Callithrix jacchus: one gene and its partner. The protein of the gene in region 1 purifies or fractionates together with the protein of each later gene. This does not show direct contact. Links are inferred from orthologs where the notes say so. Each region holds a gene or a part of one and is shown on either strand. Other genes may lie near its edges.

Region 1 (3,748 bases):
GATGGGCCTGAGTTTTTCCAGTTGTTTTTAAACCCATCCAGCAAACACCCCGTCTCACAACGTCGGCGCTGGCTGCGGATGGGTCCGCATCCTTTAAGGCCCAGGAGATTGCCTGCTGATCACCCCGCTATGTTAGGGAGTCAGAGGCTGAGGTGGAGCCACACTCCATTGTGCAGAGACGGTTGAGTCTCTGAAAAAGTGAGAGTCCAGGAAGAGAGGCAGAAAGAAACAAGTAGGTAAAGCTGCTTCTTTTCTTCCACATGCTCACTGCACATTGTTGTTGAGGATACAGGGATCCACCTGAAGGAAGAAACAGACTAGTTTAGTTCAGGTAAGAATTAGAACAACAGCCCAGTTTAGCAATCCTGCTAAGTCAACTTCTTATAGAGGCTTAGGACAAATTTAACAGAAAGGATGACAATTTCTCACCTCAGTATAAGTAGGTGGTGGCATGAACTTGAACTCAGGGGCATACATAAAGATAGGACTGTCTTGAGAGCCATCCACGTCATCTAGCAGAGGGGTGGTGGGGCTCTCCAATCGGTGATCTTCAGGAATGATATCCATATAGCAAGGAGGAGCTAGAAAAAAAAATACGGCCACATTAAGAAGCCTGCCCAAGAAATGCTGGAGCATCACAATTTCACAAACCCAGGTAGACCAGAACAAGACATTGGGTCTGGCTCACCTTCTGGGGTATCAGGGATGTTCAGGTCTACCCAACTCATCTCAGAGCTGGTTCGGCTGGCCATGCTTGATGTTCTGCTGCTTAGACCTGATCTGCTGCCAATTACCAGGGGCAGGTCAAGGATGACCTTCTTGGATCCAGGAACGCTAACATAGATCTAGAAAGGAAGATGGAAGTTTGTTAGATCAGAGATCTGGAGAAAACAAGACTGTGGTAGCAGAGGAACAATTTCTCTGCAGAAGCCACCCTGTATCTACTCACCAGTAAGGAATATTCAACTCGAAGGATGTTGCAGCCCAGGATAGAAGGCCTGATCTTCTGCACCCGAAGGCTCTTGCCACGCCATGATGCGCATGTCCCTGAGATAATATGATTGCCTCTGACTGAGGACAACTTCTGAGTCAGCACCTTGGTTTGGCCATTGGCAAGGTAAGTGTGGCGGGCCACGATGGCAGCTTTGGGGACCACAATTCGGGAACATGTATTCTCAAAGTCAGCATGGATGGAAATCTCATCACCTAGCAATGAGAAAGATGAAAACTTATTAACTGATACTCAGTTAATGACATTTCCGCTACCCCAGTCCCATGCCCTTGGCCCTAAACCCAGTTCTTGTTAAGATATCTACCATCAGCACTAGTGTTTTACCTTCACAGAATCCTTTTCTGTCAATTCGAGCCGAGACAGACACCCGCCCATCAGGAATGAACATGCAGGAAACTTTCTTTTCCTTTTTAGCAGACACAGGTGCCTATGTAGAAGGGGACAAAAGGCGTTTTGAGATGCTTCAATCTAATGCCCAAGACATCGGATTTATCATCCCTGTGACCCAGAAGAATACACTCTCTAAAATGAATCTCACCATTAAATCAGGGGTATTGACATCCACCAGATCCACTACTTCAAAGTTTTTCTTTGTCTCTTGAGTTGGCTGGCTGGGGCGGTCAAGAAAAGCCTTCACCCAGTAGTCTACACACCCATATTTTCCTTTGTAGGATGTTCCCAGAGGCCTGTGTCAAGAAAACGAAGATTTTTAAATGCTCTCCAAGAACAGTCAGGAGGACAAGACAATTTAGACCGAGAAGTTCAAAGATGCATTTAGCTGATACTTACCCCTGAGGAAGCTCAAAGCCGAACTTGTACTCATACTTGTTTCCAGGTCTCATGAGCACCATCTCATTCTCACCTGCAGGGAAAGAAAATCGAGTAACCATTAGGCTTCCTGTTACACTTAAAATGCATCTGTGTGATAAGGAATGACTGGGTGGCATGCAACGTACTGAATGAAGTACCCCCAATTTCATCCTACATATTTTAAAATCATCCGATATTGTTCTTAAAGAGAGAGTCTGGTGTATTTTGTAGGGCAGCAAATTGCCAAGCCCTGCAATGCTTAAAGATTCACCCAGGACGGTTCCTCTTAACATCTCAAACAGAGGTAAGCAAATAATAAGCAACTTATGTATACATAAGACTTTACCCAAGGCAACGCCCCCAGAATCATCTTTAAGAAACAAGCACCATAAAAAATTATACAAATCACCCATTTTTTGGGGGGTGGGGTGGGGGGAGAATGTCTGCAAATTAAAACAGATAAAAGGAAGCAACAACACGTAATTCAAACCACGCAAACGGAGCAACTCAAAACATTTCATACGGGTTTACGCTTTCTATTCTCTTACCAGCTTTCACCCTCCAGCAATGAACCGGGCCTCTTACCTGTTGGCTGGTCTTCCGGAAGAAGCGTGTCTTCGTAGCGCAGGTACTCCGAAGTCTGTTTGCACTGCTGGGATCCCTGCATCCAGAGCACTTTGGCCACTCCGCAAGCCAGGATCCTAACGGCTTTGACACGGGTCACCTCGCACACCTCCACTATGACCCGGCCAGCCACCTTCTCACCACTGCCGTACACCTTCTCAGGGTCGTTAAAGACCACCTCAAAAGACTTGATCTTCTTGAACATCACCATGATGGGACAGTTGATTTAAGAGTCAGGAACGAGGGTGGAATAAAAAAAAAAAAAAAAAAGCCCCAAATCGAGGAACCTCCTTTGCAGTAAATTATTTCACTCTTCCTAAGGAATGAAGGTATTCTTAAGCAGTTTGAGCTTAAATTTAAAGTAAGATTCAGACAAATGAATTTTAACTACTAGGTTTTTGAAAAGGCCTCCAAAAATTTCACGCCGCTGGTTACACTAAAGGATTTCAGAGAAAAAGCCTTCTTTTCCCACAATTGCTGGAGAAGAGATCCGATCTCTACAAACGCTCCTCTAAAGAGAAAGGGAGCTTAGTTTCAAGCAAGAGCCGGAAACGGCTCTATATAGTAGCCTGGGCCCGCAGAGCCACGCGAGCGCTGGCCCGGAGGCTCGTGCTGCCCTCGTGCACATCCCTCCCATTGGCTGCTCAGTCCCTGTTTACCAGGAGCCCGACCAATCAGTGAGATCACTGAGGCGCGTGGACACGGTGTGCTCCTGGCGGGGTAAATGGTTGTTATGCTCCGTAGCAGCGGGAGGAGGGGGGGAAGGAGAGGGAGGAGGGAAAGGAGGGGGCTGCGGAGCGTCTTCCCTGGAGCCCACTGGAAGGAGGCTCCCACTGACCCTAAAACCTAGCCAGGGCGACGGGCGATCGGAGGGCGGGTGTGGACGTTTCTGGTCTGGGAGCGGTGTTAGGAGGTAAAAGGAATACGTGCTTGAGGGAATTTCATGCCTAGTCTTGGTCAGTGAAATTTCTTTAGAGCCTGCTGTTTATTCCTGACTCATAAATAGCAAGTCTGTGAGAAACAATTCCATGGTTCCAAGAACACGCTTAGGTTTGGGGCTGTGGAGCGGGTTGGTGTTACTGTCCAGCAACAGCTCTTTTGTCCTTCTCTTGCCCCGCATCCCTGTTAAATATAAAAAACACCACCACCTCTGAAGGAAAGGAGAACTTTCAGGCCTCATTGGACCTGTGGGACTGATGTCCCTTCCAGCCCCTTGGGGGGAGGGCTGGGGCTGCGTGCCTGTGCTGTTCGTCACCCCCTTGTACCCTCTTTCTGTTCTCTCTGTTCTCTGGAACGGAAATA
Region 2 (3,648 bases), on another chromosome or scaffold:
AGTCACGTTTTGCTTTTGTTTTTCCGTAGAGAAGGGCTCTCACTTTGCAGCTCAGGCAGGACTTGAACTCCCGGCTTCAAGCAATCCCCCTGTCTTGGCTTGCCAAAAACTTAGGGTGACAGGCATGAGCCACTGCAGCACACATGCAGTTACCTTTGAATCACCTGTAGCTCTCATCCAGATGCAAAGTCTTCCTCCCCGGGTCTACAACTGGGTCTACAATTTTGCGTTTCTAACAGATGCCCAGGCTTCTGGTTCTCAGAAAGTGCTGAGACACAGCAAGTTCCTGCCATCAGAGGGAGAAGGCAGCTGCCATCTAGAGGGACGGGTGCTGAGCCCCTACCAGGGCTCCAGTCAGAATCTGTCCTCAGAGGTAGGCAGCTGCCATCTACATTTTTTTTTTTTTTTGAGACAAGTCTCACTCTGTCATCAGGCTGGAGCGCAGTGGCGTGATCTTAGCTCACTGAAACCTCCGCCTCCCGGGTTCAATAGTTCTCCCGCCTCAGCTTCCCAAGTAGCTGGGACTACAGGTGCTTGCCACCACAGCCAGCTAATTTTTGTATTTTTAGTAGAGACGGGGTTTCACCATGTTGGCCTGGCTGGTCCGCCCCGGTCAGACTCCCAAAGTGCTGGGATTAGAGGCATGAGCCACCCCGCCTGGCCAGCAGCTGCCATCTACAGGGACGGGTGCTGAGCCCCCGCCAGGGCAGCAGTGCGAGTCTGCGAGCCTTCTTCACGGGTGTGTGACCCGGACATGGCCTCCCTGACCCTCCACCTCACTTCTAATAAGTAGGTCTGCCTGCTTTTCTCTTATTCCTCTTCTCCCGTTTCTGTGGTCTGAATGTTTGTGTGCCCCAAATCCATATGCTGAAACCCCAACCCTCAACGTGACGTATGAGGAGCTGGGGCCTTTGAGATGTGATGAAGTTATGAGGGTGGAGCCCTCGCGGTGGGATCGCTGCCCTGACAAAAGGGACCCCAGAGAGCTGCCTCACCCTCCACCTGTGAGGACGCAGCAAGAAAGTGCCATCTGCGGCCGCCCCTCAGTGTCCCTCCCCTCTCCCCTGTGGGGCTGCCTTCTAGAGGGACGGGTGCTGAGCCTCCTACCCTGCTTCCTCACCGGTGTGTGATGTTGATGAGGTCTCACCAAACACATCTGCCGGTGCTCGTCCACGGGCCTCCCGCCTCCAGAACTGTACGGTGATCATTGCTTTTTTTTGTGAGCCAAGCAGTCTACAGCATTTGGCTATGGCAGCCTGACAGATGGAGACATCTGTCTTCTTCCAGTCACTCGGAACTGCTGGCCCTGCTTTCCCACGCCTGCCCCCTCTGAATACTCTGTACCCCCAGCCTGGGCTGCCCCTGGCCTTCTCTCACTCTGTCACTCCGCCCATCCTCTGGAAGCTGGCGGAGGGGGACACCCACGCCGCAGAAGTGAACAGGTTCATCCCCTTGTGCTTTGGGTACTCTGCAAGTTCCTTGTCAGAGCCCGTGACACACACGCGCATGCACCCACACATACACGCACACGCGCGCATGAACACACACGCACACGTGCACACATACACGTGCACGCACGTGCACACGTGCGCAAACACACGCACGCAAACACGTGCACATGCACACACATACATGTGCACACATGCGCACACGCACACACACCCACACCTGTTTCCTGACTGTCCCATGACGGACCTCAAGCCCTATGAAAGGGACCTGGGTCTCAGCCTCCACTGCAGCCCTGCGAGCAGTTGGTCCTTCTGGGCCAAATGAGGACCAGGAAGGTGTCCTGGCCGGGCAGAGTCAGGGCTAGAGGAAGCTGAAGCTCACCGCTGCCAGTGGAAGGGCCTAGCCTCCTGTTTGTCTTCTCTACGGATTAAACTCACATCACAGGGTGCCCGCCTTCCTACAACCACTGTCCTTCTTAGGAGCCACTGAACAAGAAACCCAGAAGGGACACAGAAGTCAGTTGACTCAACTGCTTCACTGCACAGACTCGGCAACTGGCTTCCAACCGCCCAGCAAGTCATGAGCACACCCTAGAGCAGACACTTCTGGCGACAGCCCAGGGCAAAGCAACATGGGGGCCTGGAAGGAGCGTTTCAGCTTTTCTGCTCTGTTTCCCTTGATTCATCGCTATCGTATTTTTCCCAAGGAAACCGAGTCTCTCTCCACTGCCACCTGCACATGCTTCTCAGACTGCATTCCCGACTTGCTTGTGTGGGTCTTCAATGCCTGGATCCCTTTACTTTCTTCTCCCCGCACACATGTCCCAGCATCCCTTAAAGCCAAGTTTAAATTGCGCTTTTCTAAGAAACCTCCCCCAGCCTCCAGCTCTAAGGGCCTTCTGTCCCCTGGGCTCCTGGGACGGAGTCTGGCATTGCCCTGCCCCAGAGACATTGACTGACCATGAGGCACTAGCGCTCCAAATAGCTGACGAGCAGTTTCTTTTGGCAAGCCTTTGTAGGCAGTCCTCCAACCTCCCTCATCCCTTGTGCTAAACTAGCATTCCCAAAACATTTGTTCCTTATTTCATTGTTTCTTTGCTCACCCCATTTATCCACCTACCACAAGTCAACCTTTGCCCATGAAGGGGTGTGAAATGGGTGGTGGCGGCATCATTACACAGCTGTGGCAACTAAATTTGGAAGATAGATGAAAAGACACCAGAGGAGGCAGGTGCCAAGCAAAAGCTGGAGAGGGGGCAGAGGGCACGCTCTGCCGCCTGCTGGAGCCGAGCCTGCTTACCCGAGGGAACAGGCAGTGAGAGAGCCTGGGGGTACACACTGGGCCACGTCGAGGTGTCGGCCTTCCTTCTCCTCTTCCTCCTCCTCCTTGGGCATGTTGTGGAGAAACCCCAGGGAAAGGGACTCCACCCGATGACAGTTCTCAATGCAAAAGGAAGAAACCACGTGGTCCATTCTGGTGGAGAGATTGATCTCAATCTTGGGGAAATGGTCCATGGCCCTCTGCACAAAGTCCTCCTCCTGCATCTCGTACAAACAGTAGAACAATTCCAGCTGGCTGGGCTGGATCTGCAGCTTCTTTGCCTTGGCCTTCACCTCAATCCATTTCAGCAGCTCCAGCCTGATCTGCTGAGAGACCTTGCAACTTAATTTCTTCTCCAAGTAGGAGGTCCTCTCCTGGTTCACCAGGCCGAAGAGGAAACGCACAACGAAAATCAAATACCCCTTCTCGAATTTGCCGTAGTTTTCCAGAAGGACTGTCACGTCCCGGCTGGGAAGCGTCAAGCAACTCCCTGGAACATTCTGCATCCCTCCTTCCTTTTCCTCTTCCAGCAGGTAGTACATGGCAGCAAAGAACTCCTGGAAGGTCATGTGGATGAAGCTGTAGAGCTTCTCGCAGTCCACTTCCTTTTGGAACAGGTTCATCCTCAGGAAAGCAGACACCTCCGCCTTCTGCAGGCCGTGATTCCTGAGGTCAGACTCCTCAAAGAGGATTTTCTGGTTCCAGATCCCATCTGCAGCCAAAGAGCAGAGCCCCCAGAGGTGGGCAGAGAGGGTATGCTCCTGGCTCCCTCCTCGGGGCTGCAGCAAACTGGAGAGGAAGAAGATGTACACCGCAGTGGTAGTCTTGGATGTCTGGGCCAGGCTCTTGCCACTCTCCATCTGCTGCTTCAGGCCGGTG

Evidence for each region. The genes of interacting proteins can lie anywhere in the genome.
Region 2: the proteins of TXNIP (region 1) and NLRP3 purify together in Homo sapiens (affinity purification with western blotting, with the first as the bait; 4 studies listed by BioGRID). This does not show direct contact. The link is inferred for Callithrix jacchus from reciprocal best matches to the Homo sapiens genes TXNIP and NLRP3.

The regions. Positions count from the first base shown.
Region 1 is NC_133519.1:8,436,100-8,439,847, forward strand, and holds the start of TXNIP (thioredoxin-interacting protein), read right to left. Parts: upstream 2,365-3,748; 5' UTR 2,344-2,364; coding exon 1,802-2,343; intron 1,699-1,801; coding exon 1,551-1,698; intron 1,440-1,550; coding exon 1,337-1,439; intron 1,207-1,336; coding exon 950-1,206; intron 846-949; coding exon 689-845; intron 582-688; coding exon 430-581; intron 301-429; coding exon 265-300; 3' UTR 1-264. UniProt on the Homo sapiens protein: May act as an oxidative stress mediator by inhibiting thioredoxin activity or by limiting its bioavailability.
Region 2 is NC_133520.1:38,247,554-38,251,201, forward strand, and holds part of NLRP3 (NACHT, LRR and PYD domains-containing protein 3), read right to left. Parts: coding exon 2,749-3,648; intron 1-2,748. UniProt on the Homo sapiens protein: Sensor component of the NLRP3 inflammasome, which mediates inflammasome activation in response to defects in membrane integrity, leading to secretion of inflammatory cytokines IL1B and IL18 and pyroptosis.